Linked DNA regions of Stegostoma tigrinum. The protein of the gene in region 1 interacts with the protein of each later gene in a biochemical or structural test. Links are inferred from orthologs where the notes say so. Each region holds a gene or a part of one and is shown in the gene's direction. Other genes may lie near its edges.

Region 1 (10,952 bases):
CACAAATAGGAACAGGAATAGGCCATTCGACCCCTTGAGTCTGCTCTGCCGTTCAATAGGATCATGGCTGATCCAACATTCCTCATGTCCACTTTTTTATCCTTTCCCTGTTACCATTGTTTCACAACTGGTCAAGAATCTATACACATCAACCTTAAATGTACGAAAGGTCTGTTCCCTCACAGCGCTCCATGGAAGGGATTTCCAAAGACTGTCAACCCCCTGAGAGAAGAAATTCCTCCTCATCTTAGTGTTAAATTGGCACCCTTTTATTCTGAGGCTATGCTCTCTGGCCCTAGACTCTCCCATGAGGGGAAACATCCTCTCAGCATTTATCCTGTCAAGCCCCTTGAGAATCCTATGTGTTTTAATGAAATCACCTCTCATTCTTCTAAACTCCAATGAGTAGAGTCTGAACCTGTTTAACTTCAAAAACAATCCTTCCATACCAGGATCATCCCAATGAACCTTCCCTGAACTACCACCAATGAAATTATATCTTTCCTTAAATAAGGTGACCAAAATTGCTCCAAGTTATAAATATATACTGTAAACAGTTGTGGCCCCAGCACTGATCCCTGTGGAACCTCATTGGTTACACATTGCCAACCTGAAAAAATCCCTTATGCCCACTTGCTGTTTCCTGCCATGACTGAATTATTTTTCCGTGCCAACATACTACCTCCAACCCTGTGGGATCTTATCTTACAACTTAATCTTTTGTGAGGAACACCTTCTGAATCCAAGTGCATCTGCTGGCTTCGTCCATCCACTCCAGTTGAGACTTCATTCAGAAACTTAGTCAGATACGATTTCCCTTTCATGAAGCCATGCTGACTCTGCTTAAATAGAGCATCGAGCTCTACAGCACAGAAACAGACCCTTAATTCCAACTCAACCAGATATCCCATATAAATCTCATTCCACTTGTCAGCATTTGGCCCAGATCTCTCTGAACCCTTCCTATTCATATATCCCTCCAGATGCCTTTTAAATGTCGCAATTGTACCAGCCTCCACCACATCCTCTGGCAGTTCATTCCATATATGCACCAAACTCTGTGTGAAAAATTTGCCCCTTAGATCCCTTTTATGTTTTTCCCTTCTCACTTTCAGCCTATGTCCCCTAGCTTTGGACTTACCCACCCTGGGGAAAAGACCCTGTCTATTTACTCTATCTATGCTCCTCATGATTTTATAAACCTTTATAAAGTTACCCCTCAGACTTTGATACTCCAGGGAAAATAGCCCTAGCCTATTCAGCCTCTCCAGACAGCTTAAACTTGGCAACATCCTCGTAGGTGTTTTATGTGGCTTAGTTAACTCAGCCACATTAGGGGCATTTAAACAGTCCTTGGATAAGCATATGGATAATGATGGGATAGTGTAGGGGGAGGGGCATAGATTAGTTCACAGGTCGGCGCAACATCGAGGGCCGAAGGGCCTGTTCTGCGCTGTGTTGTTCTGTGTAAATCTTTTCTGAACCCTTTCAAGTTTCACAACATCCTTCCTATGGCAGGGAGACCAGAATTGCCCACAGTATTCCAATAGTGGCCTAATCAATATCCTGTACAGCAGCAACATGACCACCCAATGCCAATACTCAATGCACTGACCAATAAAGGCAAGTCTACCACATACCTCCCTCACTATCCTATCTACCTACAACTCTTTCTTTGAAGGAACCATGAATCTGCAGTTCAAGATCTCTTTGTTCAGTAACACTCTCCAGGACCCTACCATTAAGTGTGTAAGTCCTGCCCTTTCCAAAATGCAGCACCTCACATTTATCTAAATTAAACTTCATCTGTCACTCCTCGGCCCATTGGCCCATCTGATGGAGATCCCATTATACACTGAGGTAACCTTCTTCGCTGTCTACTGCACCGCCAATTTTAGTGTCATTTACGAATGTACGAACCCTACTTCCTATGTTCATATCCAGAACATTTATATAAATGGTAAAAAGCAGTGGACATAACACCGATCCTTGTGACACACCGCTAGTCACAAGCTTCCAGGCTGAAAACCAAGTCTCCACCACGTCCCTCCGTCTTCTACCTTTGAGCCAGTTCTGTATTGAAACAGTTAATTCTCCCTGTGATCTAACCTTGCTAACCAGTCTACCACGAGGAACCTTCTCGAATGCCTTATTGAAGTCCATATAGATCACACCTATCGCTCTGCCCTCATCAATCCTCTTTGTAACTGCTTCAAAAAATTCAATCAAGCTAGTGAGACACAATTTCCCATGCACAAAAACATTTTGACTATCTCTAATCAGTCCTTGCCTTTCCAAATACGTGTAAATCCTGTCCCTCAGGGTTCCCTCCAACAACTTGTCCACCATTAATGCCAGGCTCAATGGTCTATAGTTCCCTGGCTTTCCCTTACCACCTTTCTTAAATAGTGGATCCATGTTAGCCAGCCTCCATTCTCTGGCACCTTACCTGTGGTTATCAATGATACAAATATCTCAGCGAGGGGCCCAGTAATCTTTTCCCTCACTTAGTGTACACCTGGTCAGGTCCCTGGGATTTATCCACCTTTATGCATTTTAAGACATTCAGCACCACCTCCTCTGTAATATGGATTTTTTTAAAGATTGCATTATTTACTTTGCAAGTTCTCTATCTTCTATATCCTTCTCCACTCTAAACACAGATGCAGAATACTTGTTTAGTCTTTTCCTCATCTCCTGCAACTTCACACATAGGTGACCTTACTGATCTTTAAGAGACCCTATTCTGTCACTAATTACCTTTTTGTCCTCAATATATTTGTAGAATTCTTTTGAATTCTCCTTAACCCTATTTGCCAAAGCTATTTCATGTTTCCTTTTTGCCCTCCTGATTTCCCTATTAAGTATATCCTACTGCCTTTACATTCTTCTAGGGATTCACTTGATCCCTGCTGTCTATACCTGATGTTTCCTTATTTTTCTTGACCAAAAACTCAATTTCTCCAGTCATCCAGCATTCCCTACGTCTACCCGCCTTGCCCTTCACCCTAACAGGAACATACTGTCTCTGGACCCTTGTTACCTCATTTTTTAATGATTCCCATTTTCGAACAATCCCTTTACCTGCAGACGTCTACCCCCAATCAACAATGAATTCACATCAGCCTTTCCTGGACCACTCTCCTAAACCGTCTAAATCTTTCTGCAACTTCCCCACCTCCTCAGTGCTACCTGCCTGTCCACCTATCTTCGTATCATCGGCAAACTTCGCCAGAAAGCCCCCAGACCCTTCATCCAGATCATTAATATATAAGGCGAACAGCTGCGGCCCCAATACTGAATCCCGCGGGACACCACTCGTCACCAGTTGCCATTCCGAAAAACCTTTTATCCCAACTCTTTGCCTTCTGTCAGACAGCCAACCCTCAATCCATGCCAGTAGCTCACCTTGAACACCATGGGCCCTCACCTTGCTCAGCAGCCTCCTGTGAGGCACCTTATCAAAGGCCTTTTGGAAGTCTAGATAGATAACATCCACTGGGTTTCCCTGGTCTAACATACTTCTTACCTCTTCAAAGAATTCTAACAGGTTTGTCAGGCTGATTAGCCTAACCTCAGTTGTTGGTAAAATTCTAGAGTCCTTGCCTAACACCATCAAATACCAAATGTTCTGCTATTACTTTCTAAATAATTGATACCATTAGTTTTCCAACAATAGATGTTAGGATAATCAGCCTATGGTTACCTGCTTTTTGCATCCCTCCCTTTTTGAATCGTGAGTGTCACCTGGCAGTTTTCCAATCCTGTGGTACTTCATCAGAATCCAGCAATCTGTGCCCTTTTGTGCTTTCTTCTTTTACAGGTGACAACAGCTTCTCCTTATCTACTCTACCTGTGATTTTGAAAACTTAACAATCCCAATTTCTTCAATCTATCTTATCAGTGAAGTTTCTCATTCCTGGAACCATTCTTCTGCTTTCCTTCTACATTCTGTGTTTGTACCTGAATAGATACTTTGGATCTGCCTTCACTCAGGAAGACACAAGCAATCTCCCAGATACAATAGTGGCTGAAGGACCTAGGGTAATGGATGAAGTGAAGGGAATTTATATTTGGCTGGAAATGGTGTTGGACAGACTGTTTGTTCTGAAGGCTGATAAGTCCCCTGGACCTGATGGTCTGCATCCCAGGGTACTTAAGGAGGTGACTCTAGAAATTGTGGACGCGTTGGTAATCATTTTCCAATGTTCAAGAGATTCAGGATCAGTTCCTGGGGATTGGAGAGTGGCTAATGTTGTCCCACTTTTCAGGAAAGGAGGGAGAGAGAAAACAGGGAATTATAAACTGGTTAGCCTGACATCAGTGGTGGGAAAGATGCTGGAGTCAATTATAAAAGATGAAATTACGACTCATTTGGATAGCAGTAACAGGATAGGTCAGAGTCAGCATGGATTTACAAAGGGAAAATCGTGCTTGACCTGCAGTATTGTATGCAGTTTTGGTCTCCAAATTTGAGGAAGGACATTCTTGCTATTGAGGGAGTGCAGCGTATGTTCACGAGGTCAATTCCTGGAATGGCAGGGCTATCATATGTTGAAAGATTGGAGCGACTGGGCTTGTATACACTTGAACTTATAAGGATGAGAGGGGATCTGATTGAGACATATAAGATTATTAAGGGATTGGACACTCTGGAGGCAGGATGCATGTTTCCGCTGATGTGTGAGTCCAGAACCAGAGGACACAGTTTAAAAATAAGGGGTAGGCCATTTAGAACAGAGTTGAGGAAAAACTTCTTCACCCAGAGAGTGGTGGATATATGGAATGCTCTGCCCCAGAAGGCAGTGGAGGCCAAAGTCTCTGGATGCTTTTAAGAAAGAGATGGACAGAGCTCTTAAAGATAGTGGAATCAAGGGTTTTGGGGATAAGGCAGGAACAGGATATTGATTGTGGATGATCAACCATGATCATAATGAATGGTGGCGCTGGCTTGAAGGGCTGAATGGCCTACTCCTGCACCTATTGTCTGTTATTCATGTCTCTCCCTGACCCTTTATAATGTAGCCCCACATTCATGGGGGATTCAGCGGTGACATTGCCATTGACTGCCATGGAGCAATGGTTGTATTCTCTCTGGCCATTGCCTGGATGAGAATATTATTTTCCACTTTACAGCCCAGCCTTGATATTGTCCATGTTTTGCTGCATGGACGTCTTCAGTATCCGAGGAACTGTAAATATATCAAAATGTTGTTTAATTTTCAAAGAATATTTCTTCAACATAGGTTCAATCTTAAAATTATTTGCATTTTTATTTTCAAATCCATCCTTGACTTCTCAAATCCATCTCCCCATCCAGCCCTCACAGTCTCCTCCAGCTGCACAATGTCTGCAGATCTCAAAACTGAACTTACACAACCTCAGTCAGTGATTGGGCCTTCAGAAAGCTGGACATTAAGTCTGGAATTCTATCCCTAAATGTTACCATCTCTCCATCCTCCTTTAAGATGGTCCTCAAAATGATGCTCGCTGACCAAGCTTTGGACATCTGCCTGAATAATTCCTGTGTGTGAATGTTGCTATAAAAGATGCTGTCAAAGTTTCTTTTTTCGAACATCAGGACAGGGACAAGAGTAACAAATTTCAGAGGAAATAATTTATACTGCATGAAAAGGTGTGCTGATTCTTCGACCTCTGGACTTCAATTGGTTGAGGTGTCAAGCATAGACAACAGGGATAACAAAGTGTGGAGCTGGATGAACACAATCGGCCAAGCTGCATCTTAGGAGCGCAAACCTGACCCTTATGCTGTGATAATGGGAACTGCAGATGCTGGAGAATTCCAAGATAATAAAATGTGAGGCTGGATGAACACAGCAGGCCAAGCAGCATCTCAGGAGCACAAAAGCTGACGTTTCGGGCCTAGACCCTTCATCCTCTCTGATGAAGGGTCTAGGCCCGAAACGTCAGCTTTTGTGCTCCTGAGATGCTGCTGGGCCTGCTGTGTTCATCCAGCCTCACATTTTATTATCCTGACCCTTACTTATGCTGTTGTTATTTCAAATAAGGCACAGTGCTTTTTTTTTTCTGCAGGGACAGCTCCCTGTGTTTATACCTACTTTGACAACACTACCAGCCCTCGGAGAGAATCGCAAGGTTTCACAAACCGCACATTATCCTGGTTTGGAAATATATCGGCATTCCTTGACTGTCACTGGGTCAAAGTCCTGGGATGCCCTCCCAGCATTCTGAATGTACCAACAGCACGCAGACTGCAGCAATTCAAGAAGCCAGCAGCTCCTACTCCAAGCTCGCGGCATCCACATCCTGTGGATGCATGAAAACTGATCTGGAGCAAAGATATCGTTCCGTACAAGGCAGGCAGCTTACACCGCGCATTTCTCACACTTTGCATACAGGCAGTTGAGAATAAGTTATAAATATTCGGATGGGACAGGGTGACGAAGCCGGGTTAAATGTGAGGACAGGGCATACAAACAGAGAGATGTGGCACTGAGGCAGAATGCTGGCTGGCTGCAATTCCCAGCTACAGAGGCGGCATCAGTTTTCTTTCTGCTCCTGCCCAGCTGGTTGTTGTTGTTGTTGTTTTGCAGTGTCCCTGCTGGCAGCCTGGGATCTTGCTGTGCCGCCGGCTCTCTCTCACTCCCCCTCCCTCCGCGCATCCCGCTTTCCGGACCTCACTCCAAATAAGGGCATCTACGTCAGTAGGTTCCCGGTGCTGGGCCGCACCAATTCGGCGTGGGTTGGGTGAACTGACAAGACCAAGCGAAACCGGCAGTTCCCGAGGCTCAGGCGGCCGTTGACTGAGAAATGGAGCTGATTTAGACTCCCGCTACTTCTGACCGTCCGGAACCTCTCTGTCCTGTCTCTCTAGTGTTTGTAGTGTCTGCATGGACGACTCTGCCCCCCCTATTCACCTATGCATGATGGAGCCGTCCAGGTGCGTCATTCGCCGCAAATCCAATAAAAGGCGATGGGTCCGAGCCTGACACAGCAAACCCTCCGGAGAGAGACAGCGAACAGCACCGGGACGGAAAGGCAGATAGCGCGGACACAGGCAGCCCGGAGACCCGGCACAATGTTCCAGGCTTTCAGCACCGACTACGACTCCGCTTCCCGCTGCAGCAACTCGCCGTCCATTGGCGATCCGTTCTATTTCTCACCCGCAGACTCCTTCTCCAGCCTGGGCAGCCCGGCCCACGTCTCGGTAAGTGACCGAGAGATTAGATGGGGCTGGGGTAAACACTGATGCTGGGGGGCAGGGGGTGCTGGGGTAAACACTGGAGGGGTAAACACCCACGCTGGGGGGGGTTGGTGGGGTGAACACTGACGGTGGGGGGTGAACACTGACGGCGGGGGGGTTGGTGGGGTTGACGCTGTGGGGGTGGCGGGGTAAACACTGACGCTGGGGGGTTGGTGGGGTAGCGGGGTAGACACTGACGCTGGGGGGTTGGTGGGGTAGCGGGGTAGACACTGACGCTGGGGGGTTGGTGGGGTAGCGGGGTAGACACTGACGCTGGGGGGTTGGTGGGGTAGCGGGGTAGACACTGACGCTGGGGGGTTGGTGGGGTAGCGGGGTAGACACTGACGCTGGGGGGTTGGTGGGGTAGCGGGGTAGACACTGACGCTGGGGGGTTGGTGGGGTAGCGGGGTAGACACTGACGCTGGGGGGTTGGTGGGGTAGCGGGGTAGACACTGACGCTGGGGGGTTGGTGGGGTAGCGGGGTAGACACTGACGCTGGGGGGTTGGTGGGGTAGCGGGGTAGACACTGACGCTGGGGGGTTGGTGGGGTAGCGGGGTAGACACTGACGCTGGGGGGTTGGTGGGGTAGCGGGGTAGACACTGACGCTGGGGGGTTGGTGGGGTAGCGGGGTAGACACTGACGCTGGGGGGTTGGTGGGGTAGCGGGGTAGACACTGACGCTGGGGGGTTGGTGGGGTAGCGGGGTAGACACTGACGCTGGGGGGTTGGTGGGGTAGCGGGGTAGACACTGACGCTGGGGGGGGGGGTTGGCGGGGTAGGGTAGACGCTGACGCTGGGGGGGGGGGTTGGCGGGGTAGGGTAGACGCTGACGCTGGGGGGGGGGTTGGCGGGGTAGGGTAGACGCTGACGCTGGGGGGGGGGGTTGGCGGGGTAGGGTAGACGCTGACGCTGGGGGGGGGGGTTGGCGGGGTAGGGTAGACGCTGACGCTGGGGGGGGGGGTTGGCGGGGTAGGGTAGACGCTGACGCTGGGGGGGGGGGTTGGCGGGGTAGGGTAGACGCTGACGCTGGGGGGGGGGGTTGGCGGGGTAGGGCTGACGCTGGGGGGGGGGGTTGGCGGGGTAGGGTAGACGCTGACGCTGGGGGGGGGTTGGCGGGGTAGGGTAGACGCTGACGCTGGGGGGGGGGTTGGCGGGGTAAACACGGATCGGTGGGGGGTTGGCGGGGTAAACACGGATCGGGGGGGGTATGTATTTTGTCCCGCGGTGGGAGGGCTGTGCTCTCTCTGGTTCCGGGAGAATCCACGTAAAGTGTGACGTCTGGGGCTGGTGATGCGCTCGCTCTGAACCAATCAGCGCCGCTTTATTAATAAACCCCGTGACGTCAACTCCATTCACAAAAACAATCTTGGCCCCGAGGTGGGGAGGGGGGGTATCCCCGCACGGGGGGGGGGGGCGCCTGAGTGTGTGTGTGTGTGTGTGTGTGTGTGTCTCTCTCTCTGTCCCCCTTGGGGGGGGGGGGGTGTGTGTGTGTCTCTCTCTCTCTCTGTCCCCCTTGGGGGGGGGGGGGTGTGTGTGTGTGTCTCTCTCTCTGTCCCCCTTGGGGGGGGGGTGTGTGTGTGTGTGTCTCTCTCTCTGTCCCCCTTGGGGGGGGGGTGTGTGTGTGTGTGTCTCTCTCTCTGTCCCCCTTGGGGGGGGGGGTGTGTGTGTGTGTCTCTCTCTCTGTCCCCCTTGGGGGGGGGGTGTGTGTGTGTGTGTGTCTCTCTCTCTGTCCCCCTTGGGGGGGGGGGTGTGTGTGTGTGTGTCTCTCTCTCTGTCCCCCTTGGGGGGGGGGGGGGTGTGTGTGTGTCTCTCTCTCTCTGTCCCCCTTGGGGGGGGGGGGTGTGTGTGTGTCTCTCTCTCTCTCTGTCCCCCTTGGGGGGGGGGGGGTGTGTGTGTGTCTCTCTCTCTCTCTGTCCCCCTTGGGGGGGGGGGTGTGTGTGTGTGTGTCTCTCTCTCTGTCCCCCTTGGGGGGGGGGGTGTGTGTGTGTCTCTCTCTCTCTCTGTCCCCCTTGGGGGGGGGGGGTGTGTGTGTGTGTCTCTCTCTCTCTGTCGCCCTTGGGGGGGGGGGGTGTGTGTGTGTGTCTCTCTCTCTCTGTCGCCCTTGGGGGGGGGGGGGGTGTGTGTGTGTCTCTCTCTCTCTGTCCCCCTGGGGGGGGGTGAAGTCTGTCTGTGTCCCGGCCTCTGTCTCATGTGTTTCTCTTTCTCTCTGCAGGACCCTGGCTCCGAGCTCGCCCCCAGTCTGACGGCCCTGAGCCGCCGGCCCGAGCTGCAGTGGATGGTGCAGCCCACCCTGAGCCCCCGGCCCAGGCACGAGTACAGCCTCGGAGCCCCGTACAGGGCACGGGCCGCCAGCAGCAAATGCCCCGGCCGCAGGGGCAAGACTGACCAGGTGAGGCCGGCTCCAAGGAGGGGGCTTTGCGGGGCGGGAAGCGTGGTACTGCCCCTGACGTGGGGGGGCACTGTACCTGCCGTTCAGCTGGGGGTGGGGGGGGGGGGGCAATCCGGAGGGATGCAGGCTCGGCTGGAGCGGTGGGGGATAATGTTTGCTGCGGTCTATGAAACAGGGTCTCACCGCCCGCCCCCTCTCTCTCTCTCTCTCTCTCTCCCCACTTTGCAGCTGAGCCCCGAGGATGAGGAGAAGCGCAAGGTCCGGAGGGAGCGGAACAAACTGGCTGCAGCTAAATGCCGGAACCGGAGGAGGGAGCTGACCGACAGCCTGCAGACGGTGAGTGCGGCTCCGGGACCGTGGGGGGGGGGGGGTAGTGCCGGTTATGGGGGTGGGGGGAGTCGAATCATAGAATCCCAACGGTGCGGAAAGTGGCCGTTCGGCCCATCGAGCCTGTGCTGACCCAGACGCCCACTTATCCAAGTTCACTCTCTCAACCCCCCAACCCGGCTCAGGACCGGGTTTTGACTGTAGCTGCCCCACCGCCTGGGGAGGGGCTGAGTATGTTGAGGTCTCTGGGAGGGGGTGTTGCAGGGCTTGTTGTGGGGGGTGTCTCTCTGCTGTGAGCCGCCCTTTGACTAACCAGTAGGGGGTTTGTTTTTGTTCCCCACCCCGTGCAGGAGACGGAGAAGTTGGAAGGGGAGAAGTCTGTTCTGGAGACGGAGGTAGCGGAGCTGCTGAAGGAGAAAGAGAAGCTGGAGTTTATCCTGGCGGCTCACCGGCCGGTATGTCGCATCCCAGAGCCCGAGGCCCCGGGGCTCCCCGGCGGCAGCAGCATGGAGAGAGCGGACCCGGAGCGTGCAGCAGCCCCAGCCCCAGGCCTGGACAATAACCTGGGAGCGGACTTACTGGGCAGCATTGACACAGGCCGCTCAGTCCCCGATGTGGATTTGATCAACCTAGCCGACTGGGAGCCTCTGTATTCCTCACTGCCCGCCGACTGTGAGCCCCTGTGTACCCCTGTCCTGCCCGCCACCCCGAGCGGTTCCTACTCGTCTTCCTTCGCCTTCAGCTACCCGGAGCTGGCGGCGTGTGGCTCCTCTCTCGGCCCCGGGGCTAGCAGTGACCATTCCTCCGACTCTCTGAACTCTCCTACCCTGCTAGCCTTGTAAGAAGCTGAGGGACATGGACACGGACATGGACACAGCCAGCTCCCCAGCGCTGCATGCATCAGCCTGGGAAATGCATGAGACTGGCCTCCTCCCTGGGCTGAAGCTCCACACTGTTACTCACTCAGCCAGAGACACGGTGCTAGACTCTTCTCCAGATGGTGTTTCGTCG
Region 2 (9,913 bases), on another chromosome or scaffold:
CTCAGGATCCCACCACCGGTCAATGTGGGGAGGTAAAATGCAGACTGAGTGACCACTTTGCACAGCACTGGCATTCTGTCCGCAAAAATGACACCAAGCTTCCAGTTGCCTGCCACTTCAACACATCACTGTGTTCCTGCACCAGTATCTTTTACTTGGGCCTGCTCAGTGCTCCAGTGAAACTCAGCGCATGCTCAAAAAAAAATCTCACTTTCCGCCTGGGGATCCTGCAGCCTCAAGGACTCAACATTGAGTTCAATTACTTTAGAACCTGATTCTGTTCTTTTAAATTCAATCCCCACACCCAGTCCTGTTATGACATATATTGATTTCAGCTCAGTCATCCATTCTCACATACTCCTAGGTCCATTAGCACAGAGATAGTAAGAACTGCTGATGCTGGAGTTTGACATAAGGCGGTGTGTAGCTGGATGAGCACAGCAGGCCAGGCAGCTTTCGAGGAGCAGGAAGGAGTTCATTTCTGAAGAAAGATCCCGACCCAAAAAGTTAGCTTTCCTGCTCCTCGAATGCTGTGTTCATCCAGCTACACACTGCGTTCTAGCACTTTACATGGATTGCTTTCGGCACAGCTCACCCACTCTCTCCTACTCTTAGCTCTGATTGTCACTGATTCAGCTTTTCTTCTGACCTTTTCTGCTTTCCATTATCTCCTTCTTTACCTACCCTTTTATATCTCTATCTATCAGGGCTCCATTTCCACCTATCCACTCACCTGTAGCCTTCCCTGCTCCCTACCCTAAAGTCAGATTCAGCATAAATACCACCTTTCCCTAGCTTCTAACATTTCTGATGAAGTCACTAGACTCGAAATGTTAACTCTACTTTCTCCTCACAGACACTGCCAGATCTGCTGAGCTTTGCCACCAATTTGTTTTCATTTCAGATCTCCAGCATCCACAGTTCTTTGTTCTATCCCCTGGATGAATGTTTTGCTGTTCTCTATAACCATTACCACCTAGTTTGCATTTTGTTCTATGATACCTCGGCTTCTTAATCCTCCCTTCCCTTTTCAGCAGTAGACAACCCATCCCATTTTTACCTATCCTTGGTTCGTACAGGATCAAGAAGAATTTTTAAAAAACATATTATCAAAATGGTGGGATTGCAAAGCTCTGAGATGCAGTGGGATCTGGGTATTCCAGTGCATGGATAGCAAAATATAGTTTGAAGATACAACAAGTAATTCAGAAAGTTAATCCAATGTTACCATTTATTGTGAAGGGTACTGAATGCAAATGTGGGGAAGTTATGCTTTAGTTTTACTGGGAATTGGTGAGCTCATTTCTAGAGCATTGTGCACAGCACTGGTTTCCTTATATAAGGGAGAATATAAATGCAACAAATGTATACTAGACTGGAATGGGCAAATTGTCTTATGAAGGAAAGTTGCACAGACTAGGATTGTGTCCACTGGAATGTAGTTATTAAGAGATATGGGTCACAGGAGTGTATATGGAGTTAGGTCATCGATCAGGCATGACCTCATTGAATGGCGGTACAGTCTTGAGGGACCAAGTGACCTACTCCTGTTCCCATATTCCTACCTTGCTCTCCAGGAGAGTACAAGGTGACATTACTGAAATATATAAGATCCTGAGGGGTCATGACAGGGTGCACATGGAAAGAATGTTCTTCTTGTAGGAGCATCTAGAATTAGGCGATTCAAGATAAAGGAAGCACAGATTTAAGATAGAGTTGAGGGGAGGGTTTTATTTTTCTCTTCGAGATTTGGGAGGTTTTAGGATTAGCTTTATGAAAAGGTGGTGGAAGCAATGTCTCTGAATAGTTTGAAGGAGGAGGTGCATAGATTCTTGGCAAGCAGGTAAGTGGAAGATTATCAGGAGTGGGTGCGAATATGGAGAAAACTTATTAGATGATAGAATAGGCTGGAGAGGGCAAATGGCCTACTTCTGATGCTAACTCACATTTTATATATTATATTGGACTTGAAACATTAACTCCGCTTTTCTGTCTCTCTCTACAAATGTTGCAAGACCTGCTGAGGCTTTCCATCACTTTTTTTAAAATTTGAGATCTCAAGCATTCCCAGTATTTGTTTTTATGTTAACTCTTGTCTTACTACCCTATTGCACCAACCGCTTTGGGGTTAAGGCTAGTTTGAATTTTGCCTTCTGTGTGTTAGCTGATCAGCACCCTGGTTGCCGGGAAGTGCTCCACATTAGTTTAGGCTAGGAATTAGCCAATGTAGGAGGTTAGGTGAGACTACGATCAGCTGTCTAAGAGTCTCTTGGCACACTCTGTCAAACCTTGAGGTGTACATGCCATACAATCGCCTAGTTACTAGAAATTGGAACAACACAGTTCCTGCAAAGTGTGCCAACACCAGAGAGCGGGATTGAAAAAAATGGATTGAAATCATTCATATTATTACTGTGATCTCAAAAAAGAAAATCAATGTAGAATCATGTGCAACCTTTTCATCTGATTCTCCTTGGGAAAATACATCTGATATTTCACTTTCCACTAAACTTCACAAAGATGTATCTCCAAAAGATTACTAATCTGAATTTGAAACTGAAGTCAAATTTTGGTTTCCTCAGTGATTCAGCTTTTGAAGGATAATGTTCAGATAACTACAAGCTCTAACTTATGGCTCTAACCACTCAGCTTAAAGCCTGAAAATGTATTCCTGCTAATTCTTGTAGGCAGCAATGGCTAAAAAAATACAATCAGCGTCATAGGACATGACTGTATAACAAATAAAGAGTTTAATAATGTAATTAATACTGATGAATAAATAGTAGTTGAAAATATCAAAAGCTTTTTTGGTTCATATCTACTGTACTGATTCCAACTAAATGGATAAGGTACACAATATTATTATTACATCTTCCTGCATTTAAGACTCAACTATATAATTAACGTCAATGTGAATGGTTTCTAAAACTCCTACAAACAAACATAATTCGACATCATCTCAAATGGAGTTCATTTTAAAAAAAGCCTGCATTTCTGTTGCAATAAAATTGACATTTCAAAATTCCTGGTGATAAAATTAATTTTGTGTGGCTAACTGGTTAAGCCCATAACTAAAAAGGATTATTTCATACTCTCATGGCATTTTGCCCCTCCTGCTGGTGCTAAGTTTTGTTTTAGAGTAGCTTCACGCATTAGTAATCAGTTATACAGAGCCTTGTATAGCTACAAGCTGACTCAAAGCACTTTAGAACCAACTAAACACTTTTTTGATAAACACAAAGAGGTGCAGATGATGGAAATCTGAAACAAAAACAGAGTGCTGGAGAAACACAGCAGATCCGGTAGAATCTGTAGAGAGAATACAGAGGTAACATTTTGAGTTTGGCAATCCTTCATTAGAACTCAAGTACATTTCTGTTTTGTCCTTTGTTCTCATGTTAAAAAACATGGAAACAAACTTGGATGCAGCAAGCTCACACAAACAATAATTGATCAAGTAAACATTTTAAAAACCCTGTTGCTTAAGGGATACATACTGGTCATACACGAGAAAACTTCTGCTCCAACTCAATTAATCCATGGGATCCTTAAACATCAACTGAACAGGCAGACGGGGACTTGGCGCTTCTGAAAGATACATGTCTATTTAGATTTTGTGGTGATATTTGAACCTAAGAGCTTACAGGCTCAGAGATGGCAGTGCTCTGAGGCATACAGTACACCAGGGGTGGAAATATCTCACCCAATTTCCCTTCATTTTCAATCAGTGAATACCAGTGGGCTCAGACACCATGGCAGACAAGATCAATTCTCTGTCCTCTCCAGACGTCACCATTGCTGCATCCTCTAACAGGGATACATATTAAACATTGATTGTTCTCCCATGCTGACCCAGAGCCATTTACTTCAATCCTAGAACCTTAGCTCCTATCTCAGTTGAATTTCATCAACAGGGTATTAATGAAGCAAAGAATGTGTTCAAGGTGTAATAATGAGCCATAGAATACCTGTGACCCACTGGTCTATGGTGGAGGGCAGGCTGCTCTTGTTCTGGAATATCTTAAAATATATCGATAGGACCAAAGAAATTTGAATGGTTGCACACAGCTTGGCTGTTAATGACTGATATTTAACTCGGAAAGCTTCTTCAGAGCTCGATTCCTGTTCTTGGCTTCCTCACATTGCTTCCACGTGCATTTTTAACATCTCTACACATCGATTGATGTCAAAGAGCCAGCAGACCTCCGTAGATGCATCCTCTTGTGGAAAGGAGCCATGAGCTGGGCTGGGAACAATTAACAGCGATAGGATGAGGGAAGGGAGGGGGTTGGTGGGTGGAATCTTGCTCTTTGACTAACACAGCCTTGCCAATGGCTATGCCTGAACATCACTCAAGAAGAAAGGAGAGACAAACACCCCTATTTTGTTCCGCCCTCTTTGCTTTCATTTTTTTCGAATATAACATCAAATGATTCTGAATACTGTGGCACCAATTGCATGGAAATGAGCACCAGGCTTCGCGAAGCATAATAGCCTGGAAGTACAAGGAAGAATTCATAATGTACATCTCTCACACATGGTGAAGTTATTTGCCGACATACATCCACACCATCACACTAACGGACTACAATTTCTTTGTTGAAAGATACAGCTTGTCACCAGAGGTTGAAGATTTAATTTTTTTTTAATTGGTAAATTTCATCTATGTGTAGGAACACACAAAGAAAAAGTTAGCAGCAGATGGATCAGTTAAATTGCAATGTGGTTAACTGCAAAGGAAATTCAAAACTTTGTTCACAGAATACTTGCAGTGAGCCAGCTGCTGTACACCCAGGCACACTCCAACCTAACAATTAGTAGTCCCAATCACTTGCATTGTCCGCTCGAAAAAAAGGCAACGTAAGCCAGTAATAAGCAGACGACACATAGAATAATGTGCCACTTACCAATGGAGAATAAATTCGTTGACTTGCCTTTCAAATCCTTGGACTGCAATTAGAACATAAAGGCACTAATGTATTTCTTTTAGGAAATAACTGCTCGGAATAGGACCTTGTGAAAAGTGCTGCGACAGTTACTGGCGATACTGAGTACAAGGTGAGTCCCTAAATTCTCTATAACTTGCAGAATCACTTTATTTAGCTAAGTACTTTTTTTGATATCAGGTATCCTATTCGGAAATTGCCTCTGATTTCATCAATTAGTAGCAATCTGATATATAAGTGCTCCCGGTTAAGTGTTTTAAAGTTCAATTTCTTTTTCCCCTATTTGTTTTCCTACTCTCAGGGAGGGCTGATTCCACAGGTGCCAAGTCGGTAGCTCTCCATGCCGTTGCTTCAGCGCCCACTCTTCATACAGGCGCTGAACATCAGCAGAAAGTTCAGCAGTGGACGGGCATTAGAGACGGTCCTGATTGCCTCATTTCATGGACACCCTCATACACTTCAAGCAAGATCTGGGCAGGATGCAGTAGGAGTATTGAGCAGCGTGCAAATGTCACCTAGGATTTTCACTTCAAGGTTATTAAAAGTTAAAATTTAGAATTGGAGATGTCCATATTCCAATAATATTAGAAAAATTGTTCATTCTTCTACGAAGATTGAGGGGAAGAAATAATCGCAAAGGCACCAAATGTACCGCCAAAAATGTATACCACACTCTGAACATAATTAAACCAAAATCATAATGTTATCGTAACACTTCCAAGTGAGAAATTCTTTTCTTTTCGATAACTATGATAAAAAATTAGCAATAGAATTCATTTCTTTAAAACTGTATTATTTTCAGCAGTACAAAAATTGAAAGCCGCAGTGAAATATTACTGATGGTTTAAAACAGCTCCATTACTCTTAAAGCAACACAGGCTCTGTTGTACAGGATCATATCGTTCTATTTGCATAATAAGCAAAAAGGGACTGTGAGTCAGTTTTGCAAACTCTAGCCTCTGCTATTTCCTGACTGAGCTAAGGGGAGGGCAGGTGGGGCGGGAAGGGCATGCTACAATGAGAAAAAAAGCGACATCACTTGGGGCACATGATCAACGGCAGCCAATTAGGTTGAATTATCAAAGGGGAACAGTTAAATTTGTAATTTAGGTTGTGTGAAACTCTTTGGGCCTCATAAACAACCACAGAACCACAAGTTGGGTGCAGACCAGTCACACAACAGTGGGTCCGGGATATTGGTCAGCACACAGCAACTCATTCTGATTTAAACCACAGAGTGCCAAGCATTTCGTACAGTGGTAAGCATCATCTAACCACAACCAATCCACTATTTTTACATTTCAGACCTCAAAAAAGTACCTTATCGTGTTGTTTGCAGCACTGCAGAAGCTCTGTGATAAGGTAAAAGGAAATTGCCAAAGATGAACGGTACGGTGGAGAGTGCGACTCTTAAATTCTGTTGGTTTTCCTTTGAAAAGGTGGGAGACCTGTGCAACCAGTTAGGACGGCTTCACGGGACACCATGGCTTCGAACAGCATATTCGAGTCATTTCCTTCATATCAACAGTGCTTCATGCGAGGTGAGTACCCCTGTTTAAAATGATTCACTCCGGTGCATGTTGAGAAATAGTCCTCCAACATTAGATACAAGAAAGATGCTGTTGCTTTTGTGGCTGCACGATGAGTACTTACTGAGTTCATAGCTGATGCAGAAAAAGGTTTATTTTTAAGCATTTCATTTTAGTTGGCAATTATCTCCAGTTCAATAAACACTCTGCTGAGGACAGAGAAGTGGCTCAGAAACTGAAACACGTCTGTCATGAGCAGCTTTTCTCACAATATGATATGACTCTTGTCTGATGGATTCGTTGAAGAAAGTGTGTACTCTTTAGGGCTGACTGAAGAAACACTGGAGTCTTTAGTAAAGTCGTTTTGAAAACACAGAATTAGTCACCCTTGACTGTGAGGAAACAGAAGTACGAGATATATGTTCAGAAGCTTATGTCATTTTGAGTCACTAACAGTCGTCAGAATCAGGCTGCTTTTCTTTCAATGTTTTTGAAAAAGAATGACTACAATGAAGTGAGAGAGACTGATAAATGCATGAGCAACACCCTTGAAACAAAGATTGATAACTCTCTTTCTAAACTGTTGCTCAATTGTACATAGCATGTCACTGTTTTCAGTACAATCTGCACCTTAAGCGAGAAATTTGTACCATCGACTCATGGTGGTTGGATGATTTATGCATTCCTGCATCATCATTCAGCTCCGTCGAATGGCCACAGTCCCAGTGTAAACTTGCTAACAGCTCCCTTGGCTCACTAAACAACTGTTTCCTCAGTGCTGTTAACAGCCAGAGGAAACAATATTCACCAAATAATGAGAAGGACCTTCCTGCATTCAGTTTGCTTTTATTTCATGTTTTGTTTCCAACCCGTGGCCACAGGAAAACTTATTGAGGAAATTTTTACGAGTTAGATAAGGTAATAAAGAGCAATGTATAAATAATCCTTTTTCACTGATACAGAATGCAGGCAGCTGAGGCATAGGCTGCTGAACAGTTAAGGGTATTAGTTAAGACGCCATTTTTAGCCCATCACATCGGGTGAAAGAGTAAGAAGAGGAGAGACCTTGAAGCAGGCAGACCACCAGACCACCATTGGTCTGTCCAATTGATGGCTAAAACAAAAGAAGGGCAATTGCCACATGCAAACCAGACAGGTATTCAATAGAACTTGAATAGACATGAGGAGGAGAGTCTTTTTAAATATGTGTATAATAAAGCCGTAAATTTGGAAAGGAAATCAGCTTATTTAATCTGCTTGTACTTGAGATAAATTTGTTTTTGTTATTTTGGCTTGGCTTCCTCTTTTTCCCTTGCCTGTGCATTGAACTCTGGTCAGCCTTGAGATATGAGGCAAAAACAGAATGCCTCCTGGACACATGCAAGTTAGATAAATAATCATGTCTGTGGGCAAATTGTTTCTGGTGCACTTTTCTCCTGGCTATTTGCATAGCCCGGTCTTTGCAAACGTTCCCGGCGCCGCTCTCTCCATCTTTTGCAACAACACTGCTGAAATTTATTGCCCTCGCTCTGCTAACAAACCCCGAATGGTCAGCTGTGGGGAAATAACAAGTGGTTCTCGTCCCATATATTTCACTTTATCAGTCCTTGCAGTTCTCTCAGAAGGAAATCCATAACTCTTGTAGCACGATACCCATGTTAAAAATGAGAAGGAGAGAAAAAAAAAGCAATTGTTCTATTCTAAGAAAACACTGGAAGAAAGCTGACGCATGAATTGAGTGTGGTACACCACAAAGGATATGGGTCTTTTCTATCATACCACACCAGGCTCTCCCTTCTGCTCTCCTACAAGGAAACTGCTGAAGTCGCACCTTCCAATGAAACATTGCGCCCCAAGAGGATGGATGTTTTCAGTTTACAGTGAGTTTAAACATTAATCCTGGTAGAGAATATAAGCGCAGTTTCATTGTTCTGGTAATATATCACTCAATGGTACATTGTGTTCCAGCAAACCTTGCGCTGTGCACTGGTAATCTTTTCATTTTGCATTCACGATCTAACTATCAAAGGATTGCAGGGTTGTGGGAGGTGAGGTAGAATAAAAGAGAGACTTGTTTTAACATTGTGCTCTTCCTGAATGCAGAAAATCTCAAGGTGCTTCAAAGCCAATAAAAACTATTGAGGTGTTGTCTATGATGTGGTGTAGATAATGCGGCAGTCAATTTCCACACAGCAAGCTCCCACAATACACAGCAAGCAATATTATACTGTTCCGGTAATCTGTTATTGTGATGTTCATTGAAAGGTACATACTAGCCAGGGTATCAGGGAGAACTCTGCTGCTTCCCTGAAAAATAGGGCCAAGGGATCTTTTTGATCCACTGAGTGTAAAGAGAGCCTTGGTCTCATTCAGAAGATGATGCACATGCTGCACCTTTTCCTGATTCTTGTGCTCAAAAATTTACCAAAAAAGTAGAGTTGCTACCAATAGTATTAAGGCCTTACTCTGACTCTCTTCACTGATGAGTTTGGCTTACATTCTAAATTTTGTTAAATATTGTTGACATTACATTCATTATATTTCACTGCATCACTAGATAATGCATAAGCAAAGGCATTGTTAGTTAAGTATCTACAAAATGAGCAGGACAGTGGCTCTGTGGTTAGCACTGCTGCTTCACAGTGCCACGCACCAGGGTTCCATTCCACCCCGAGGTGGCACTCTGTGTGAGGTTCTACTCAGATCTGTGTGGGTTTCCTTCGGGTGCTCTGGTTTCCTGTCACAGTCCAAAGATGTGCAGGCTAGGTGGATTGACCATGGGAAATATGCGATTACAGGGCAGGGGGAATGGGTCTGGATGAGATGTCCTTTTGGAGGTTCAGTGTTGATTTGATGGGCTGAATGCCCTGCTTCCACACTGTAGTGAATCCATGAATGAGGCATTTCACAATGCCTGGCACTACAAATCTGTTGCATGAGTCAAGACTGGAAGGGATATGCTGAATGAATATTAGACATTGCCTGGTTTGATATCAAGTATACTCACTGACTACCACAGGAAGGCACAATTCCACAGCATAAACATCACTTGAACTTGGTTCTCATCTTGGTTTCTTTTGATGAATTAAGACAAGTACTGCTCTGAAAGACTGGGAACAAGAGGCTGTTAAATCCCAATTTATCCATATGAAAAATATTAAAATAGAAAAAGAAAATTTCTAGATTGTTTCCTTATTCCTCATCATTGGCAACATTACTGCGATCATCCATGCAATATTTACTCAAGAAACATTGAATATCCTCCTATAATAAATTGTTATCCACTAGGAAATGCATTTTGCGCACATGTATTGAAGCAAATGGGTAATAAAGGATTCTAAGGTAAATAGAATGTTTGAAATAAATATTTTAAAGTTGAGAAGAACTTTCATTTACATAGCACCTTTTGCATTCTCACACTATCCCAAAATGTGTTAC
Region 3 (10,681 bases), on another chromosome or scaffold:
CTAATTCATATCAACATAATTCACATGTACTCAAAATCTCTATTTCCTTTGCGAGCGTTTTCATACTTCTTAACATGTTTATCTCCCATTTTTCTTTGAAACAGAATCAAAGATGAGGAAGAAAATTAAACAATACAGGAATAATTATGTAATGTATCCAAGATTTTCACTTCCAATTAATACATCTGGAAATCCGTTTCAATTATCTAGCACTCTCCACATCAAGAACTTTGTGATAATACAAGTTACTTTGATAGTTTAACCCTATTCCCTCCTTGTCCTAATTCTACAGTTCAATCTAAAATACAAGCATCTTCCCATACTATTGTAAAAAAAACTGCCTCTACAAAATGAATGTTCTTTCTAAATTGAGAACCAGGTTCAAGTCCCACCCATTCCAAGGATATGTAATAACATTTCTGAACAATAAATTATTAGAATTTTTTCCACAACATTACACTCCCGTCTACATTCAATGTCCCTCATCTACGTGTGCATTTTGCCAACTTTTACTTTTGAATGCTTCCTTCAATTCCATTGCCCTTAGAGTCAGAGAATCAGAGTTGTACATCTTGGAAACAGACCCTTCAGTCCAACTCATCCGTACCAACCATATATCCTAGATTAACCTAGTTCCACTTGCTAGCATTTGGCCCACAGCCCTCTAAACCCTTCCTATTTATGTGCCCATCCAGATGCCTTTTAAATGTTGTAACTGTACCGCCTCCACCACTTTCTCCGACAGCTCATTCCATTCATGCAATACCCTGTGTGAAAAAGTTGCCCCTTAGATCCCTTTTAAATCTTCCCCCTCTCACCTTAAACCTATGCTCTCTAGTTTTGGACTCCCCTACCCTGGGAAAACAACCTTGGCTACTCCTCACCCTATCTATGCCCCTATTGATTTTATAATTCCCTATAAGGTCACCCCTCAACCTCCAATGGTCCAGAGAAAATAGCCCCAGCCTATTCAGTCTCTCCCTATAGCCCAAACCTTTCAAACCCGATAACACCCTTTCAAGTCCAACAACATATTTCCTATGGCAGGAGACCAGAATCGAACTCAATATTCAAAAGGTGGCCTAACCAATATCGTGTACAGGCACAGAGAAAAACAACCATTTTGCTTTGAGTTAAGAAATCAGAACTATTTATGCAAATGAGAAATGGTGGTGGCCTCAGCATGAAATCCTTGGAGAAAATGCACCAACCCCCCTAATAAAAATATAGCAGGTCCAACTGCTGTCTACACTTCATCTGATTTATCATCAACACTTTCTAGTTCAACTGATATATATTCACAGGGGATATTGTCCAATGTCTTTTGAAAATCTAGCTACATTGCAATTGGGGGATGGGGGGTGTTGTTTCTTACCTCCATAGTCCAAGTGGGATGTCACTTAAATATTGTGAAGTTTGGTTAGGCATTATCTTCCTCTTTTAAGTCCTCAAGTGTGCTGTTTTTTCAGGAGAAGCACAGTTGTAAAGCTAGTTTCAATTAGCATTCATAAAATGATACAGAATACATGGGATATTTTTGACCGTTATCCAAACAGTCTCACTCAGCCGCAATTTCTGCATTTTTCCCCCACAACCATTTCTTCAAAACTCTTCAAAATGAATGGAGAATATTCTTCAACCTTCCTTTCAGCGAGTACATTCAAGATCATTACCTGCCACATTTTCTCCTTCACGTCACTACTGCCTCTTTCACAAGTTATTTTAAGTCTGTAGGCTCTGAAACTATTTGCCTTATTTACTCTATCATAGAATGGTTACAGCTCAGCCTGTCATTTCTGTGCCAATTTTCTGCAACAGCAACTCACGTAGTCTCGCTATGCCCCAGCTTTACCTGCAGCCAGGAAAACTTTGATAAATCCAACTGGTTTGTTACTTAGATCAACAGTGTCCATGATTTTGAACATCTCATTCATTGTCCTCTTAGCTTTCTCTGTTCTAATGAGAACATCCCAAGTCCTGTAATCATGACACAGTAGTCAAGTTTGTCATCCCTGCTAACATCCTATTCACTCATCTCCACAGCCTAGGAGTTTAACATCCAATCTAAAGTCTCGTACCAAAAATAAAGCATAATTCTCCAGTTGAGGCTGTGCACAGTATTTTTTAAAGAGTCATAACATCCTTGCTTTTGTATACTATGTATCAATAACGGTCAGGACCATGTGCAGCTTTTGAGTAACTTTCTCAACTTACTCTAACATCAAAGACTTGTGTAATGCATTCCAAGGCTCCTACATTCATGTATCCTCTCTAAAATTACATTGTTTAATTTATATTGTTTCTATTCAATCCTCATCAAAACTAATTGATATTTCTGTGGTATATTTCATGTCACGTCTGCCTATTTTGTAAAAACGGAAAGAGCTGCGGATGCTGTAAATCAGGAACAAAAACAGAAGTTACTGGAAAAGCTGGGAACATATTTTCCTTTATTTATTCTATCCAGACCCCTCGCAATTTTCAAAGCCACTATCAGGTATCTTCAATCTTTTCTTGTCCAATGAGATTGAACAGATTCCCCAATCTACCAACTCTGAAGTTCCAAGTCCTTGCAATTATTCTTACAAGTCTTTCCTACATCCCTCTAATGACACCTAATGCATGGTGGCTAATGTTGGAGATAATAATATAGTTAAGGTCCAAACCAGTGTTTTACAGAGGTTATTTGTTTATTTTTGTATTTTTTATATGTAAAGCCCACACCCCACGTTTCATTAACTATTTCCTCAACCTGCCCTTTTACCCATAAGACTTGTGCATACATACCCCTAGGTCTCTCTGTTCCTGTGCCCTGTTTGCAGTTGTATCCTTTAGTCTGTACTGTCTCACATCATTTCTGTAGGAAGAATGAATCACTTCAAATTTCTCTGTATTAAATTTAATCTATCATTTATCTGCCCACCATCTAATGTTGTTCTAATGTTATCAAATGCCTATTGCCAGTCCATATCCACAATCTTTGTTCGCTGGTAGAAACTCAGTATGTAAATATTCAATAATACTAGTGATAACAAGCATGGCTTTTTTTATTTCCCCTACCCCATCCCTCCACCTATTATTATCAAGTGGTGTCAGGGAATTTTACAGTTCCTATTAGATGCTACTTATATATAAGCACTAATCTGAGGCAGGTTACCGTACTTACCTCACCACAGAGATGCTTGGAATAGGAGATCCTAAAGCAAAAGGAGAAATAATTAAAAATGAGCAATATGTTTTGCATCATGTGAGTCCAGTCACTGTTAGCTGAGCTGGAAGGTAAGGCAAGGACACTGGCCACAAGAAAGGCATGGCAGAGTTCTGGCAGCAACTAGAATGTGGTACAAGGTGTTAAACAATAGACAATAGGTGCAGAAGTAGGCCATTCGGCCCTTCAAGTCAGCACCACCATTCATTATGATCATGGCTGATCATCCACAATCAGTATCCTGTTCCTGCCTTATCCCCATAACCCTTGATTCCACTATCTTTAAGAGCTCTTTCTTGAAAGTACCCAGAGACTTGGCCTCCACTGCCTTCTGGGGCAGAGTGTTGAAGAGAGGCAGAGGGTGGATAATCGCTGCGCTAAGGGGTGGTTCCAGGAGGATGTTAGCTGCACTGGGAGAATAATGGCAACAAAGGTGGAGATTCATGTGAGAGGTACTGGCTGCGATGGGAAATGGTTAAGTTGAGTTAAAATCATAGAATCCCTGTGATGCAGAAAGAGGCAATTCGACACATCGAGTTTGCACCAAGTCTCCAAAGGACATCCCAGTCTATCACCAAAACCACCCCACCCCACCCCCAACTACCATAGCTAATCCACCTGGCCTGCACATCCCTGGGTGTAGAGAGCGAGGGGAGTGAACACTAGCCACAATGAGACACGGTAAGGTGGGGGGATCTGCTAGCAGCTCCGAGAGATGAGAAGTTGGTTGGTGGTGGGATGTTCGGTGTACTGGATGATGAAGATACTGTTCACTCGCTCTGAGGGCATTCGGGAGGGGAGGGGCTATGGGCCGCACTCGGAGTCGGTGGTTTGGAGCCACTCGCTGTCCTGGTGGGCGTGGGGTGGGATTGAAAATACCAACCGTTCACTGGAAGATGGTTGGCACGGAAGAACCGGCTGTACTGGGCAGCAGTGGGTGCATGCGACGAAGGGAAAAGTAGATAAGATGCTGGGGGGAGAAAAGGGGACCAGGGAAGAGAGGGAGAGAGGAGAATATGTTAGCCACACTAACGAAGCGGGGGGCGGTCTGTAGATGATACTGGCCACACGGTTGGGTCGGTTAGGCTACACGTGTGAGGATTAGGCAGCGGAAACGGAACGCACCACCCACTTTAAAACCAAAATGTTTTCAGCCGCCGTGCGGCGACAAACTCATCCCGTCCTCTTTCCCCTTCTACCTCAAGTCTGCCCTGTGTCACTTAACGAGAAACGTACAAACTAGATTAAGGGATGCAGGATCCTGCTAAAAGATATCAAATTGAAAATGCGGGCCTGTGGCACAAAAGCTGCCCCAAATATTCTACTCACTTTTGTTTTAGTGAGCAAATCCCCAATAAGTAAACAATTAGCCAGCACCAGAAGGAATTGGCCTTGTAAACTGTCTCACTGATCTCTGTTTGTTTCTCTCCTCCAGTCCACTGACAACTCCTCGCGCGTAAAACCAAGACTTCCGGCCCACTCACATCCACGCAGTCGCAGTTCGAGGCGCACGCTGAAAAGTTGTAGTCCGTGGTTCCTGTCTCCGTGGAATAGGAACTACAACTTCCAGCGGCGCCGAGATGGATTTACAAGAGGGGTTAGCGCGAGCGCTGCCTGCCCCTCATTGGCGCTGATTGGTTATCCGTCCGCCTATGATTCGCGGTTGCCTAGGCGCTGTTCCATCGCTCAGTGGATGTTCGCCATGTCAGTCAAAGCGTGCGTGGCACTTCAAGACGCGTGCGTGGAAATCCGAAACAAATGGGAGTCAGCGGGGGGTTTTCGTTAGGATTTGTGAGCTCTGGTGTAGCGTGTTGGTATGGTGCGTTGGCAGTTTTGCAACATCAACTGACTGCTAACCATCCATCCCACGGTGTGTTTATAATCCAGTTGTTCCCTCAGCACATACTCTATTGAGGCAATTAAAGTTACCTAAATAGTTTAACACTATATATTTAAAGAAAACGTACCCACGCCTTGACCAGGGCTCCTTTCGGACTGGGAAAAAAGTTTACCAAATGCAAAAAAAAGCATGTAATTTTATTGAAGATTCTTTTCAACTACAATAAACGGGATCGTGTAGCAGTCGTGTTCAGCAGTCATCGCTCTTCATTGTGCAGTCTCTGACATATGCCCTGTTTAGCTTTGCTAATCGCTAAATGTAACGTTGCAGATTATTATGATTGAATTTCGTACATAGTTATCTGGAGAGAAGCCAAAGCCTTATTAGTCAATCCGTGTAATGAGTGTATCGAATATAACATTTTGACATAACGTTGCATGTCATATATCATGTCCCTTTGATGAATACTTCTGAAAAGCACGTCGTTTGAAGTTGGTTTAACAAGAGCGATGCCGGTGCCAGATTACTGACTGGCTAAATAATTGCTTCCTCACTCAAATTCAAGTAGCTTTTGTGCGTTTGAAAGTTATCGTTGGGTTTACCGCTAATTTACAGCAATCAGTTAACAGGCTGAGATTCGATTCGTTCCAAGCCCAATGCGCTCTCGTCCTCTCATTCATGTTTCGTAAATAATTTCAATAAAATTAACCCACAGTGGCACTGTTGCGCAGGCTGCGTGTAGCATTTAGAAGCGATTTACAGTGTTGTGCAAACATTTGAACACATATCGAAATGAACTCAGTCGCAGAACTTTAAGACCTAAGCAAAACCACAACAGAAACTGGAAGTCGGCTGCCTCCTAACACTTTTTGAGGAAATAAGCTATGAAGAAACCATCTGAGGGCTTTGATAGGCTCGGATCATAACAAGTAGGCGTTTGCACTTTTTACGATTGGATATGTAAATGATTTTCATAGTGCATTTTTTTTAGCAAAGCCTTACTCTTGGCGGGGGGGGGGGGGCATGCTTTATAACTCATTCATTCAAAGATATGTTTTAGTGTGCAATCTACAGCCGTTCCCTGAAAATTATTTCCCCAGCAGCGAGGATCAAAATATACTTTCATGTATATATTTGGGACGAGAATCGGATTTGGAAAATACCAGCGAGATCGTCTCGGCCTCTCGTCTTACAAGGGAATACAGTGTTTTTTAAATTCGTGTATGACTCCTACAGCCACCACGTGCTCTTTGATGTCTCATCATCGCTCACTTTTTTCATGACCACAAACTTGCTTTATAATCCCAACCTCCGTGAAACCACCAGTTGGAAACTGTGGCTTTCCCCCCTCTTGATCGCCTTGACCACAAGTTGGATTAGAAATTTTCTCCCCAAAGACATACATTTGGAATATATTAATAGTTGCAGGAGGAATAAGTGGCCTTCCTGAAAAAAAACTTCTTTATTTAAAAGGAGAAAAAACGAAACAAAATAAAGAAACTGGACTGGATTGAGTGACAATAGCTGGCATTAATTGGACAGATTGACTATTTGTGGCTACTGTAAGCCCCTAATCAAAGTGTTGTGATGCGTATTCCCGTAGATCCCACTACGAGCCGGCGTTTTACTCCACCGTCCACCACATTACCAGCATCGGGAAAGATGAGCGATGTGAGCGGGATGGTCCCTCACCAGGAGCCCGGGCCCGGAGTGGGAACAGCCGGGGCAGCAGCGGCGGCAGCGCTCGGCAGGTCTCTGATCCGGCCCCATGAGAACCGAACCATGGTGGATATCATTGCCGATCATCCAGCAGAGCTGGTCCGGACTGACAGCCCTAACTTCCTCTGCTCTGTCCTACCATCCCACTGGAGGTGTAATAAAACGCTGCCCGTGGCATTCAAGGTAAAAAAAAAGTTTATTTTAAGAGTTCGTCCAGAGTAGGAATAAAGTACTGGAAACAAAACCAAGCGGTAAAAAAGTGAAGATATGGATTTTCGGCACATTGGAGTGAATGTAAATTTTTTTGCCGCTTTTAGTGCGTATTTATGGTAATTTTTTTAGAATTTATAGCATTTTAGTTATATCTTTCTATAGTTTGTACTTAGACAGAGTTAGACGACAAAACGGTGAATATGCAGCATTTCTCTGCTGTTACATTATGGCACACAGTACAGACAAACCTATGTCAGAGGACAGTACGTGGATCATTTCTTGAATTTTTAGCTTTTAGTGATTGTTACATAAATATGTCCAACAACAAACAAAGTAACTTAACTAATAGCAACTTGGTAGTACACCCGGTCACTCCAGCTCCTTTACAAAGAGCAGAATGTACGCTTCAAACTAATTCCCTATACGCCTAAATAAGGGTTTACTGTAATGATAAACAGTCATGGGGATTGAATGGTACAGCTGGGACAGTTCGCATATTTTCCTGCAAACCATATCGACTTTTTGTTTTAATCTTCACAATAAAATTTTTCACAGAGCTAAGTCAATGTCTTTTTGTTTAGCTTTCAACGTATAAGGGGAGATGGAACAACTGTACCATCTGTAAAATGACTGGACAATATCCACCTTTATGAGAGTTCTTTAGCAAATGCTTAAATGTGTTGCTTAAGCAAAGCGACTGTTCTTGGAGACAACCAGGTCGTTCGCCATGGGCGGTAGCGAACCCAGTGTATTGACGCTGTGCTTTCCCCTCTGACAGGTGGTAGCCTTGGGGGATGTTCCTGACGGCACTGTGGTCACCGTTATGGCCGGCAATGACGAGAATTATTCCGCCGAACTCCGCAACGCCTCGGCAGTAATGAAGAACCAAGTGGCTCGTTTCAATGACTTGCGCTTCGTGGGCCGAAGTGGAAGGGGTACAGTAATTTACCTGGTTTAAATTCCCGGATAATTTATCCGCGTTTGCACATTATAAGTAATGATGTGTGTGTGCTTGCGTGTGTGGTCCAAGTGGTATTTCCGAGGCACGGGAACGTGACACCATCCTGCATATATGCTGGTATAGAAATTATTGTTCAAAGAAGTTAACTGCATCCGATTTTAAAGAATGGTTGTAGGGTCTATGTATCTGCCTGGCACTCCACCTATTTCTGCTGTTTTTTTGTCAAGTTCTTTTCCACCTGTTTATCGTATCAACTTCTCGAAATTTTGGAACCTCGCTCTCCTGCTTTTTTTGTCTCCGTCCCTTTCCCGTGTTCGACGGCTAATTTTACTGTCGTCTCGTCTTTCAACAAGGAAACATTGTTTAGTCAGATGAGCTGAAAAATCTGGACAAAATTGCAAGGACATTTTTTCCAGATGCCCATTGCTGAAATGTATCTGCGTTCTGAGGTTCAACATCTTTGTAAACATCACCCTCTTCAGAAATTCAGAAATTAGCGAATTGACAGTTTTTATTCCACGTTAATCCTTACTGGATCAGCTTTCTCTTTTCGCTTGAAAGAGACATATAGTTAATAGCCGGAAGGATTTCTCTTACACGCCAACACTTTTCTAAAATTAATCCTTATGAAAAGGGAGAAAAAAAGGGGGTTTCTAAAACTCACATTGAGTGCCACGTCTCTTGTTTTCTGTAAAAAGAAACGTATTAACCAAAGTCAATGCACAATGCAAACACATAAACTGCATATACCTGAAAAAGTTGTTTAAAAAGTTCAAAGAAATCACAAAGGAGTGGTGTACCCAGTTTTACTGTTTTGCTTTTCTCTTGGCTCCATTCCCAAAAAGCTTTTTTTTTCCTTTCAAAAAAAGGCTAACTGCTTGCAGGCTTTTCACGCATGGAAGATGAAGAAAGCTTCTTTTGATGAAGTGTAATTATGTCCAAACAGACTTGACCCTTTTTTTCTTATGATCTTCGTGGAACAAACCCTTGGTTTGCTTTGAAGCAGACGGCTTGTTTCCAGCTCCGAGTGTGCCAAAGGCAGGAAGAGCTACAAAAGAGGTTTTAAGTCGAGACTTGTCTAGTGAGATTCAGTTCAAGAGGAGAGGGGGGAAGAGATAAGATCGTTAATTGATGCCCATTTCTACTGAACATTGAGCATTCTACTCTACATTGAGCCACCACCAACAGATCCAGTCAGTGTAAGGACAGGGAAACAAGCATTCAAACTATTCAGTCACTTAGAACCTGAGTTACCTATTAACTGATCTTAGACAGCAGACCAACATAGACAACTTAACTGGCAGTAGAATAAAAAAGATCCAGTACAAAAATAGGAAAGTGGACAATCAACATTAGGTCAGTTGGATAGTCATTTGCAGATATTTGCTAAATGAAAATTTGAGGAAAGTTAATGCAACTCTCTCATAAAATCAAAAACGTTTCAACAACAGAAATTTAAGAAAAGGTCAAACAGGAAGACAGAAGGTTTGAAATTATAAAACAATGGGCCTTTAAACAAACATAGATATTAACATCCAGCAAATGACTGTGAGTAACAGAGTTTGAAACAGTCTGTTCTGATTCATTCATTGGTTTATGCAAAGTTCTGCATTGATGCAAAGTGATGACTGTTTTATTGACTCACTTTACAACGCCCACCTCTTCCTGTCTTGAAGCATTACTGCATTAACTGCTATTGGAAATGACTAACAATTCCATATCTACCTTATAAACATTCGAAAGGTACAGGATGCTCGATCGTATAATCCATTCAATTTTCTGATACTCCCCAAGCAGTTTACAAATTGTGCAGCCATTCCATAGTATTAAATAACAGACTTTTTGAAATATTTAGATGATTAACAGATATTCACTTAACTCTAAAGAGTAGGGTAGTCACACAGAAAGATGCAATCTTCATAGATATATTTACATTTCAAAGTCAGTAATGTTCTTTTGTTTGGATGAATGCCTTCACCAGGTTTTAAATGATATTATGGATAACTTAAACTATCAACAAGGACCTTGTCAAATTTAAACAGGTTCACAAAAATATTCTGGCAATGATATTATTAATAATTATGTGCCTTTGAGGTGGTTAATTTAAAGATTTTAAAACAGTACTATTCCAGGTGAACTTCTTCAGTTCACTGCAGAGCCAACGATCAATGTAAGAAAGAAGATAATCTTGCAGTTTATTTACCTTTCATGACCCTGAGCATCCCAAGATGTTTTACAGGCACTTTTGAGATATTGACACTTTATAATGTAGGAATTACAAATGTAATATATTTTTGTTTTAGACTGTTATATTCTTGGATTACAGAATTTGCATTGGACACTGGTCCCTCACTCGATGTCCTAAAGTGTTTTTAAGAACCATATAATTACTTTTGAACTTAACCATTCCTAAGTAAGTAATTTTCTGTCAGCAAAGTCACACAAACAATAAATGAATGAGTAAACATGCAATCTGTTTTGTACTAGTTATCTGGATTAAAAAATATAGTCTGACCTATGACTGCCCTGCTCCCAGGATTGGTGCTATGGCAGTATGTTTAGGCTAATAACCTAGGCTAATGACATGGATTCAAATTCCACCACAGTAGCCAGTTGAATTTAAATTGCTTAGTGTAGGATTTTCTAAAATACGGCTAGTCTCCATCATAGTGACCATAACACTATCTTATTATCACAAAATAAACCATCTGGTTCACTAACACCCTTTAGGGAAATAAAT

The links.
Region 2: the proteins of protein c-Fos-like (region 1) and runx1 form a complex in vitro, tested with the Homo sapiens proteins (2 studies listed by BioGRID). The link is inferred for Stegostoma tigrinum from reciprocal best matches to the Homo sapiens genes FOS and RUNX1.
Region 3: the proteins of protein c-Fos-like (region 1) and runx2a form a complex in vitro, tested with the Homo sapiens proteins (2 studies listed by BioGRID). The link is inferred for Stegostoma tigrinum from reciprocal best matches to the Homo sapiens genes FOS and RUNX2.

The regions. Positions count from the first base shown.
Region 1 is NC_081363.1:1,205,100-1,216,051, reverse strand, and holds the start of protein c-Fos-like, read left to right. Parts: upstream 1-6,988; 5' UTR 6,989-7,060; coding exon 7,061-7,189; intron 7,190-9,437; coding exon 9,438-9,614; intron 9,615-9,842; coding exon 9,843-9,950; intron 9,951-10,291; coding exon 10,292-10,783; 3' UTR 10,784-10,952. UniProt on the Homo sapiens protein: Nuclear phosphoprotein which forms a tight but non-covalently linked complex with the JUN/AP-1 transcription factor. In the heterodimer, FOS and JUN/AP-1 basic regions each seems to interact with symmetrical DNA half sites.
Region 2 is NC_081365.1:22,189,626-22,199,538, reverse strand, and holds the start of runx1 (runt-related transcription factor 1), read left to right. Parts: upstream 1-6,044; 5' UTR 6,045-6,205; intron 6,206-6,385; 5' UTR 6,386-6,429; coding exon 6,430-6,487; intron 6,488-9,913.
Region 3 is NC_081357.1:75,381,331-75,392,011, reverse strand, and holds the start of runx2a (RUNX family transcription factor 2a), read left to right. Parts: upstream 1-6,162; 5' UTR 6,163-6,635; coding exon 6,636-6,950; intron 6,951-7,758; coding exon 7,759-7,915; intron 7,916-10,681. Other genes in the region: supt3h (transcription initiation protein SPT3 homolog), read right to left, coding at 1,376-1,428. UniProt on the Homo sapiens protein: Transcription factor involved in osteoblastic differentiation and skeletal morphogenesis. Essential for the maturation of osteoblasts and both intramembranous and endochondral ossification.